Macaca fascicularis: one gene and its partners. The protein of the gene in region 3 purifies or fractionates together with the protein of the main gene of each other region. This does not show direct contact. Links are inferred from orthologs where the notes say so. Each region holds a gene or a part of one and is shown on either strand. Other genes may lie near its edges. The genes, in order: POLN, ING1 and PCNA.

Region 1 (3,652 bases), on a different chromosome or scaffold from region 3:
CAATGGACTCTGGGGACTCAGGAGGAAAGGGTGGGAAGGGGGTGAGGGATAAAAGACTACAAATTGTGTGCAGTGTATACTGCTTGGGTGATGGGTGCAGGAAAGGAGAGGAAAGAAGAGGAAAAGAGAGGAAAGGAGAGGGAGGGAAGGAGGGAGGGAAGGAGGGAGGGAGGGCGGGAGGGAAAGAAGGAAGGGAGGAAGGGAAAGAAGGCAGGGAGGGAGGGAAAGATTTTTTTAAAAAATTAACAGAGATCAAATTTTTAAAATATTGTGCTTCAAAAGACACCCTCAATAAATTCTTTAAAAATAAGCCAGAAATTGGCAGAAGTATAAATGTTATATCTTATAAGAGACTTGTATCATAATGTATAAAGAATGCTTACAGATCCAAAATAAAACACAAATAACCCAATTTTAAAATGGGCAAAAAATTTGAACAGATATTTCATCAAATCATCAAAACAGAAAGAAGATATCAAAGAAGATATACGAATGGCCAATAAGCACATGAAAAGATGCTCAATGTCACTAGGTAATAGGGAAATACAATTTAAAACCACCATGAAATACCACTTCAGAATCACTAAAATGGCTAAAATAAAAAAAAAATAGACAACAACAAGTGTTGACAAGGAGGTGGAGAATTTGAAACCCTAGTACACTGCTGGTGGAAAGTAAAATGGCACACCCACTCTGGAAAACAGTTTTGCAGTTTCCTAAGAAACCGATGGGAGCTATCCATTGTCAATCACTTACCACTGGAGGGGAGGGAAAGCCTTAAAATCTTGTTTCTAGCTCTCCTATCAAAATCAGACACTAAGAAAATGGGCTTCTTTTATGGTGTCAAGACAGCAAACAAAAACCATCACTGTTTACTAACCTGGTCAGCTCTTAACTGGGTGGAACCATCAGTATACATCAGAGTTACCACCAGGGCTGCTGCCTGTTTGAGCATTTCAATCAGCTGGCTTTTTGCCCAATCATCCAAATGCCTAATATCACAAAAATGTTTTTTCAATGCTCCTGAGTTCCCAGAATTTAGGTAGGCTTCAGCCTCATCAGTATCTTCTTCCAATGCCATTTGTTTACTTGTTTTCTCTGAAGAATTATTATATGTAATATGTTTTCTTTTAAGATTAATGCTTCCTTTATTTTCATTATTTATATTCTCCATTAGGAAATGCTTTCTTTCATGCTCCTTTTTCTGTAGAACTGAAGCCTCTTGATTATACCGTGGAATTAAACAACTTGAAAGAGCCAATGAGCTGATGCTCTTCTGTTTTTGGTCAGTAGATAGCTGATCTGTGAGTCTGACACCGAAGGACTGAGGAGAGAGCTTAGCGGAACCTCTTGATGTCTGACTTCTTAAAGATTTAAGATTCTACAGAAAAATGGAAAATATTTCATTAGAATATGGATTCCTAAGACAGATTTATAAACCAAACTAATTTCTGGTAAAAACTTGTCTAAAGTAATACAGAGACACAATCTTCATATTATCTATAATCACAACTTCTTTTTTTTTTTTTTTTTTGAGGCAGAGTCTGGCTTTGTCGCCCAGGCTGGAGTGCAGTGGTGCGATCTGGGCTCACTGCAAGCTTCCCCTCCTGGGTTCATGCCATTCTCCTGCCTCAGCCTCCCGAGTAGCTGGGACTACAGGCGCCCACCACCATGCCCAGCTAATTTTTTTTTTTGTATTTTTAGTAGAGACGGGGTTTCACTGTGTTAGCCAGGATGGTCTCTATCTCCTGACCTGGTGATCCACCTGCCTCGGCCTCCCAAAGTGCTGGGATTACAGGCGTGAGCCACTGCGCCCGGCTTCTATAATCAAACCTTCTAAGGAAACCACATAGTGTCTTCTAGAGCAGTGATTTTTCTCAACCAAGGTAGGCATGCATATCTGGATCAAGAGCTCAAAAGCCTAGTAGCTCACACCTGTAATCCCAGCACTTTGGGAGGCTGAGGCAGGTGGATCACTTGAGGTCAGGAATTTGAGATGAGTCTGGCCAACAAGGTGAAACTCCGTCTCTACTAAAAATACAAAAATTAGCTGGGCATGGTGGCAGGCGCCTGTGTAATTCCAGCTACTTGGGAGGCTGAGGCAGGAGAATCACTTGAATCCAGGAGGTGGAGGCTGCAGTGAGCCGAGACTGCACCATTGCACTCCAGCTTGGGTGACAAGAATGAAACTCTGTCTCAAAAAAAAAAAGCTCAAAAGCCTCCAACAAGCCCCTGTTCTGGGAATCAATGCACGTAATGAGAGATGTCATGGATAGGAATATGTTGCATATGTGCATAAGAGAGAAGATTAATAATTTACAACTTCCAAGTAAAGACCATTTATAGGCCGGGCGCGGTGGCTCAAGCCTGTAATCCCAGCACTTTGGGAGGCCGAGACGGGCGGATCACAAGGTCAGGAGATCGAGACCATCCTGGCTAACATGGTGAAACCCCGTCTCTACTAAAAATACAAAAAAACTAGCCGGGCGAGGTGGCGGGCGCCTGTAGTCCCAGCTACTCGGGAGGCTGAGGCAGGAGAATGGCGTAAACCCGGGAGGCGGAGCTTGCAGTGAGCTGAGATCCGGCCACTGCACTCCAGCCTGGGCGACAGAGCGAGACTCCGTCTCAAAAAAAAAAAAAAAAAAAAAAGACCATTTATAGAGAAAATGAAATCACCAAAACTATTTAATAATATGTTAATCTGTCTACTAAAAAAAATTTTTGGGGCCAGGCGCAGGGGCTCACACTTGTAATCCCAGCACTTTGCGAGGCTGAGGTGGGCGGATCATGAGGTCAAGAGTTCGAGACCATTCTGGCCAACATGGAGAAACCTCGTCTCTACTAAGAATAGAAAAATTAGCTGGGCATGGTGGCGCATGCCTGTAATCCCAGCTACTCAGGAGGCTGAGGCAGGAGAATCGCTTGAACCCGGAAGGTGGAGGTTGCAGTGAGCCAAGATCATGCCATTGCACTCCAGCCTGGGTGACAGAGCAAGACTCTGTCTTGAAAAAAAAAAAAAAAAATTAAACCCAACTCAATAGCAGTTCTCTACCTGTCTCATTCTCATTCCATCAATGTACAATATACATTCATAGATCCACAAACTAATCAAGGTGGGGAAAGCAATCCTATCCATTTCATTATAGAACTTATTTATGATAACACTTTATTTTTAAGGTTTCTTCTCTTTTCCTTTTTTTTTTTTTTTTTTTTGACACAGGGTCTTGCTCTGTTGCCCAGGTTGAAGTGCAGTGGCACAATCTCAGCTCACTGCAACCTCCATGTCCCTGGTTTAGGTGATCCTTCCACCTCAGCCTCCCATGTAGCTGTGACTACAGGGGTTCACCACCACACCCAGCAAATTTTTCTATTTTTAGTAGAGTGAGGTTTCACCATGTTCCCCAGGCTGGTCTCAAACTCCTGGACTCAAGCAATCTGCCTGCCTTGGCCTCCCAAAGTGCTAGGATTACAGGTGTGAGCCAACGTACCCAGTCAAGGCTTATTTTATATATATATATATATATATACACACACACACACACACACACACACACATATATATATATGTTGCTTTGAATGACTATATTAATATTACATTTTAAATAATTTTGAAAGAAAATGTTTTAACGCTTGGTCATATGTCATGAAAATT
Region 2 (3,159 bases), on a different chromosome or scaffold from region 3:
ATTGCACTCCAGGCTGGAGACAGGGCGAGACTCTATCTCAAAAAAAAAAAAAGAAAGAAATTAAAACTCCGGCCAGGCACGGTGGCTCACACCTGTAATCTCAGCACTTTGGAAGGCTGAGGTGAGTGGATCACCTGAGGTCGGGAGTTTGAGACCAGCCATGACCACCATGGAGAAACTGTGTTCTCTACTAAAAATACAAAATTAGCCGGGCGTAGCGGCAGGTGCCTGTAGTCCCAGCTACTCAGGAGGCTGAGGCAGGACAATCGCTTGAACCTGGGAGGCGGAGGTTGCAGTGAGCCAAGATCGCGCTATTGCACTCCAGCCTGGAACAAGAGCGAAACTCCGTCTCAAAAAAATAAAAAACAAATGAAAACTCCACTGACCCTTTCAATATGTGGGCAGATCAATGTTAGATGCCAGTTTAAATCAGAGGTCAGCAAACTCTTTCTGCAGAGGGCCTGAAAATAGTTTTGGCTCGTCAACTCAAAAGGTCTCAGTTGCAACTAATGAACTCTGCCATTTTGCAAAAGCATCCACAGACAATACATACGCACATAAGCACAGCTCTGTTCCACCGAAACTTTATTTATGGACACTAGAATTTAAACTCCATATAATGTTCAAACAAGTGGTGGACTGGACTTGACAAGTGGGCAGTAATTTCCTGACCCAGGGTCTGAATACAGATTCTGTTTTGACACGTATTTATTTGCTGGCAATTAGGTAACTTCATTATTAATAAGTGAGAACAATAATACAAAATTTACTTAAGGCTTCGTCTAAACTGCTGGTGTATAAATTTTTAAGACAAATTTTAAAAGTTACTTATGTCAAAATTAAATATACTACTAGAGGAACAAACTGGCCAAGTTTCATTTATTTCTTCACGTAACATTTTTACAGCTCACATACAGCAGGAAGCACACCTTTGCACATAATTGTGACATTAGCTTCACAACAGCATCTGCTGACTGCACTTCCAATCATAATATAGCAAGTGCAAGTTCACTTGGAAATGTACATTTATACATCTGATATAAATTAAAGATGGCTACACTATGATTCGTGATAGCAAAAGCATGACTTGAGGTTCCTTGACTAGACCGCTTGTTTAAGAGAAGTGTACCCAAGCATTTTAAAATGGCCATTTGGGGAACAGGCCAAAATATAAAATATCTATCATGTAAAATTTAACCATTTACCATTTTAAAAAATAATCTTCAAACTTGAAACCTTTGTTACTGAATTGTTATATGGATATACATCATGGCAGCAAGAACCACATTTACTATAGGCTGTATTTTTGGCGACCGGCCAATTAAAAAAATTTGTTCGTAAAGTAATATTACTTTTATTAAAATAAAAAAGCTAAATGAAGTATTTTCCTTCCACATTTAATGTGTTAGGTTGAGTTTAGTCCCCCTCCTCCCACAAGAAATCAGTCTGAGACTTCAGTGTTTAATCAAACCTATATTTGTAGTTTCTAAAATGCTGATCCACAGACCACTTTGTTACACGTGTACCAATGAAAACAAAAGGCAAACAGAATCACTGCCATCCCTATGAAAGGAATGGTTCCTTTTCTAACATTCTTTAAAAATATACATTTTACACTCCCTGCACCTCAACAAAGGCGGCAATGTCATAAATACACGGTTTATTTTGTCCTCCTCACTACCAGGCGCCTGTCCACAAACTACCTGTTGTAAGCCCTCTCTCTTTTGGATTTCTCCAGGGCTTTGTCCATGGTCTTCTCGTTCTCCCCCCGGCACTTGGGACAGTACCACTTGCCCTTGGGTTTATGATTGAGCCCCACGCACGAGAAGTGGAACCACTCGATGGGACACTCGTCGTTGTCACAGCCGATCATCTCCCCGTAGGAGACCTGGTTGCACAGACAGTACGTGGGTTCGTTGGGGTCGATGGGGAGGTCGGCAGGGGACGCCTCCCGCTCCGCCTTGGCCTTGGAGCGCTTCTTCTTCTTGGAGGTCTTGGCCTTCTTCTCCTTGGGTGTGCCCGAGGCGCTGTCCTCGTGGTCGTGGTTGCTGGACGCGTTCTCGCGGTTCTCGTTGTTGCGCTGCCTTCGCGAGCGCTTACTGTTGGGCTTCTCAGCCTGCGCTGCCGCCTCGCCTTTGGGCCTGTCCGCGCCAGCCTTGCCGCTGTTGCCCGCTGTGTCGCCCAGCTCCTGCTGCGCCTCGAACAGCTCCACGTGGCTGTCCACTTGCCGCGTGCGGTTCTCCACCAGCTCCACCATCTGGCTCACGATCTGGATCTTCTCATCGCCCAGCTCCTGGCTGCGGATCAGCGCGCGCTGTACACAGTGCAGCATCCGCCGCTTCTGCGCCCCGTCCGTCTCGCGGCTAAAGCGCTCGTAGCACTCGTCCAGCTCCTTCAAGATCTCTGGGGGCAAGAAGGACAGGCATCACTCGCGAGCAGGACATCGGGACAACCCACACGGCCCCGGACCCGGGTCTACGGAGAGGGCTGGCAGGGGGCCCAGGGGCCAGCGCACGGCTTGCCCAGCCCACCAGCCACAGGCCCTCCAGGGCCTCTCTGTTCCTGTGCCCTGGAACTAAATGCAAATGCCAGAAGAGCTCCCACAGGAAGAGGAGCCGCTCCAGCCATCCCAGAGAGAACCACAGAACAGTTCCTACGCACGGGTGACAATGCCCGAAGCCATTAAGAGGAAACATTTAAATGAGGTGCAGTGCTCGGGACCCAACCTGTATTAATACTTTCTATTAATGATTATGTCCTATACTGCCATCATTTTTACTCAAATGTTTCTATTTGAATGCAATTATTAATATACATATAACGTTATATATAAACATGGTATTTATTACATTATACACAATATACAAACGATAAAATATAAATTATTTGAATATTTCAAATAAAAAAGGTCTCTATTTTAACATACCAACATCTAGAATATCCTGTTAAATTAGAGAACGTGTATAAATGTATATAATAGCTCTCTATGATTTAAAGAACCGGGTTAACAGCAAAGGTCCAGGCTACTTTGTGTTAGGTCCTCAGTTTCAGTCCCCACATTTATTCTAGCATGTTATTCCTCTGTATTAGTGAAAGCAAGAACAGTTCTGCCACAATAATGCAGAAAAACCTAGCTTTGCTTTATTATTATTATGACTG
Region 3 (3,752 bases):
CCTCCTCCTCATCCTCCAGGGATAAAGTAAGAGAACATTAGAGTATGCCACAGAAATGATGACGGCGCAAGCAGGTCTAACTATTTTCTAAAAGAAAACGAGAGAATATGATATTAGGCATTTTCAACATTCCAACATTTCTTCTCTCCTTTGGTGTTTATAAACCTAACCTGGATACATTTCTTCTAAGATAGCTTTCAAACCCACTTAATAAAAACCAAGCATCGGGCCGGGCGCGGTGGCTCAAGCCTGTAATCCCAGCACTTTGGAAGGCCGAGACAGGCGGATCACAAGGTCAGGAGATCGAGACCATCCTGGCTAACCTGGTGAAACCCCGTCTCTACTAAAAAATACAAAAAAAAAAAAAAAAAAAAAAACTAGCCGGGCGAGGTGGTGGGCGCCTGTAGTCCCAGCTACTCGGGAAGCTGAGGCAGGAGAATGGCGTAAACCTGGGTGGCGGAGCTTGCAGTGAGCTGAGATCTGGCCACAGCACTCCAGCCTGGGCGACAGAGCGATACTCCGCCTCAAAAACAAAACAAAACAAAACAAAACCAACCATCCTAGAAGGAAGCAAATTTTAAAAGAGGTTCATGGAAATTAATGCAAATAGACAACTGGCAGTAAACAATAAATTTAACCAGTGAGTTTTAGACTTGTGGTAAACAACTATCCAAATACTAAAATCTCTTTAAAACATGCACCAGTAGATATGTTTCTAGAAAAAGTTCTGTTATGAAGTAGGCTTAAATTATATTAACTTATCTTGACGGAGGAGGATCATTGAGGCCAGGAGTTCCAGACCAGCCTGGGCAAGACTGCCCCCACACCCACACACAAAAATAAAAAAATTAGCCAGGCGTGGTGGGACAGATCTGTAGTCCTTCCTAGCCACTTAGGAGACTAAGTGGATTGCTTGAGCCCAGGAGTCCCAGGTTACAGTGAGCTATATGGCACCACTGCACTCCAGCCTGGGGAAAAGAGGAAGACCCTGTCTGTAAAAATAAACAACATTCTATGACATAACTATCATGCCTGTGTACAGCAGTCGCTACAATCAGAAACTGATACTCACTGGAATTCCAAGTTGTTCAACATCCAAATCCATCAACTTCATTTCATAGTCTGAAACTTTCTCCTGGTCTACCAAAAAAAAGCAAATGCTGTTGAGAAACACTGGCACAGAGTTTCGATCTTCTGTAGCTTCATAACTCAGTAAAAAGGTACGACTTACTGGGTGCTTCAAATACTAGCGCCAAGGTATCCGCATTATCTTCAGCCCTTAGTGTAATGATATCTTCATTGCCGGCGCATTTTAGTATTTTGGACATACTAGAAGACAGGAGACACATGGTTTAAAATCAACACCATCTACTGAAGGTCTGTATTTCTAATGCAGTTAGAAGGGGTTACCACTCTCACCCATAGGCCGTCTCAGAACTGGTGGAGGGTAATTGCACTGCTGGAGGATGCGAATATTAATGCAGACATTTTGGGATGCATCTGGCAGTATTTATACTAAAATACCACCAGCAGTTTCCCTTCTGGATAGAAACAATCTCCTGCCACTAAGTAGGATGACAGGCTGACACTTTTCTCGCAAGGGCACATTATAAAGCATTTAAAGTCAATCGCGACTGAGCCGGGAGGATCGCCTGAGCCCAGAAGTTGGAGACCAGCCCGGGCCAACACATCGAGACCGTCTCGGAAACAAAAAAGCCACAACTAAAGCGTCCATTCAAGGCCAACAGGATTTAGTGAGCAAAAGCTCTGGAGCAGTGTTCCTGGCACTGCAGAAAAACCAGTCATTTTCCCGCCACCACCCGCTTTGTGACTTTGGCGCGAAAAAGCAGGTTCGCGCAGCAGCCAGCGCGGGCTTTTCCGAACCGCGCGCTCAGCTGGGCCCCACCCCCCTGCATGGCAGGCCAATGAGAAGGTGCGGATGGTCCACGCCAGCCAATGAGGGCTCGGCTCGGAAGCGATCCCGCCAAACCCCGGAGGTGGGGGTGGGCCGGGGCCGGTTTCTCGGCGCCGCGAGGCTCACCTGGTGAGGTTCACGCCCATAGCCAGGTTGCGGTCGCAGCGGTAGGTGTCGAAGCCCTCAGACCGCAGGGTGAGCTGCACCAAGGAGACGTGGGACGAGTCCATGCTCTGCAGATTTACGCCGCTGGAGCTAATATCCCAGCAGGCCTCGTTGATGAGGTCCTTGAGGGCCTCCAACACCTTCTTCAGGATGGAGCCCTGGACCAGGCGCGCCTCGAACATGGTGGCGGAGTGGCAGCAACGCGGCTACAGGCAGGCGGGAAGGAGGAAAGTCTAGCCGGTTTCCGCTTCAGGAGCCTCAGAGCGAGCGGGCGAACGTCGTGACGAGAAGCTGAGACCTAGAAACAGAACTACCAGTCTGCTACGCCTGCAACCGTTTAATGCCGCCGCGTCCGCCAGCGCGCGCTCTTACCCTGCGCCGCGTTGCGACGTCACCACGCTGCCCGGCCCACAGCCTGGGCGGGTTAGAATTTAGGGCCAATCGTGCCGATGCTCCCCGCGAGGCCCGCCCCCTAGGACATACATTGGAGGAAGCGGGTGCAGGGCGGGGCAGCGTCCCGCAGGTCTCCCCGCCTCTTCGCCTGACTCCTGAACCTGACCACTGAACAAGTCCGGGCATATGTGGGGATCCGGCCCAGGCCCCGGTTCGTCAAGCCCCAGCTTTATGGTGCCTCCTCAGCCTCCAGCTCCGTGGGTAGAAAGTTTCCAGCCACGAAAGTGAAAGTGAAAAGCAAATCCAGCCTACCGGGAGGAAAAGCCTCCTTGTAGCCTGAAGAGTACAGCTGCTGCAAATATGCACTTTATTTTTCAATTACAGAAGTGATGCGCTCCTAAGTGTCACACCATAAAGAGTTATGTTAAACTTAGCTCCCTCTCACCTCTTAACATTCCACTGCCAGCTCTTATAATCACTCAATCGTTCCTTGTATAAAGCTTTTAAAGCTTTTTTGAAAGTTCGAATACACTTTTTTTTTTCAAAATGCACTCATTCCGTAAACACTTCGAAAAAGTACTTAATAAAGTACATTTAATTTTATGCCACGTACATCTTTTTTATATCAGTACCTCTTTAAAAGATAGCATCACATGTATGTAACTTATCAATCTCCTGTTAATTACAAACACCTTTGAGCACTTAGGCAATTTTGGTGCTATCAACTCCTTGAAGTAATACAGCTGAGTCAAAGAGCGTACACATTTAATTTTTTTTCTTTTCTTTTCTTTCTTTCTTTTTTTTTGAGATGGAGTCCTGCTCTGTCATTCAGGCTGGAGTGCAGTGGCGCGATCTCGGCTCACTGCAACCTCCGCCTCCCAGGTTCAAATGATTCTCCTGCCTCAGCCTCCCAAGTAGCTGGGATTACAGGCGCCTACCACCGCGCCCGACTAATTTTTTTTTTTTTTTTTTTTTTTTTTTTTTTAGTAGAGACGGGGTTTCACCATGTTGGCCAGGCTGGTCTCAAACTCCCGACCTCAGGTGATCACCCGCCTCAGCCTCCCAAAGTGCTGGGATTACAGGCATGTGCCACCATGCCCGGCTAAATTTTTGATAAATGTTACTAAATCTCTAAAAGTTTGCAATTTACATTCTAGCCAAGACTGTGTATGAACATGCTCATTTATCTTTATTTTCCTAACTACAGATATTAGCAATCTCATTTTTTAATCATTGCTCATCTGTGTCAAAAATTCAATTTTTTTTTTTTTGAGACGGA

Evidence for each region.
Region 1: the proteins of PCNA (region 3) and POLN purify together in Homo sapiens (affinity purification with western blotting; 4 studies listed by BioGRID, with this or other methods). This does not show direct contact. The link is inferred for Macaca fascicularis from reciprocal best matches to the Homo sapiens genes PCNA and POLN.
Region 2: the proteins of PCNA (region 3) and ING1 purify together in Homo sapiens (affinity purification with western blotting; 3 studies listed by BioGRID, with this or other methods). This does not show direct contact. The link is inferred for Macaca fascicularis from reciprocal best matches to the Homo sapiens genes PCNA and ING1.

The regions. Positions count from the first base shown.
Region 1 is NC_088379.1:2,363,104-2,366,755, forward strand, and holds part of POLN (DNA polymerase nu), read right to left. Parts: intron 1,382-3,652; coding exon 881-1,381; intron 1-880. UniProt on the Homo sapiens protein: DNA polymerase with very low fidelity that catalyzes considerable misincorporation by inserting dTTP opposite a G template, and dGTP opposite a T template. Is the least accurate of the DNA polymerase A family (i.e. POLG, POLN and POLQ).
Region 2 is NC_088391.1:101,295,639-101,298,797, reverse strand, and holds the end of ING1 (inhibitor of growth protein 1), read right to left. Parts: intron 2,404-3,159; coding exon 1,700-2,403; 3' UTR 569-1,699; downstream 1-568. UniProt on the Homo sapiens protein: Cooperates with p53/TP53 in the negative regulatory pathway of cell growth by modulating p53-dependent transcriptional activation. Implicated as a tumor suppressor gene.
Region 3 is NC_088384.1:82,160,784-82,164,535, reverse strand, and holds the start of PCNA (proliferating cell nuclear antigen), read right to left. Parts: upstream 2,423-3,752; 5' UTR 2,263-2,422; coding exon 2,042-2,262; intron 1,330-2,041; coding exon 1,232-1,329; intron 1,141-1,231; coding exon 1,073-1,140; intron 1-1,072. UniProt on the Homo sapiens protein: Auxiliary protein of DNA polymerase delta and epsilon, is involved in the control of eukaryotic DNA replication by increasing the polymerase's processibility during elongation of the leading strand.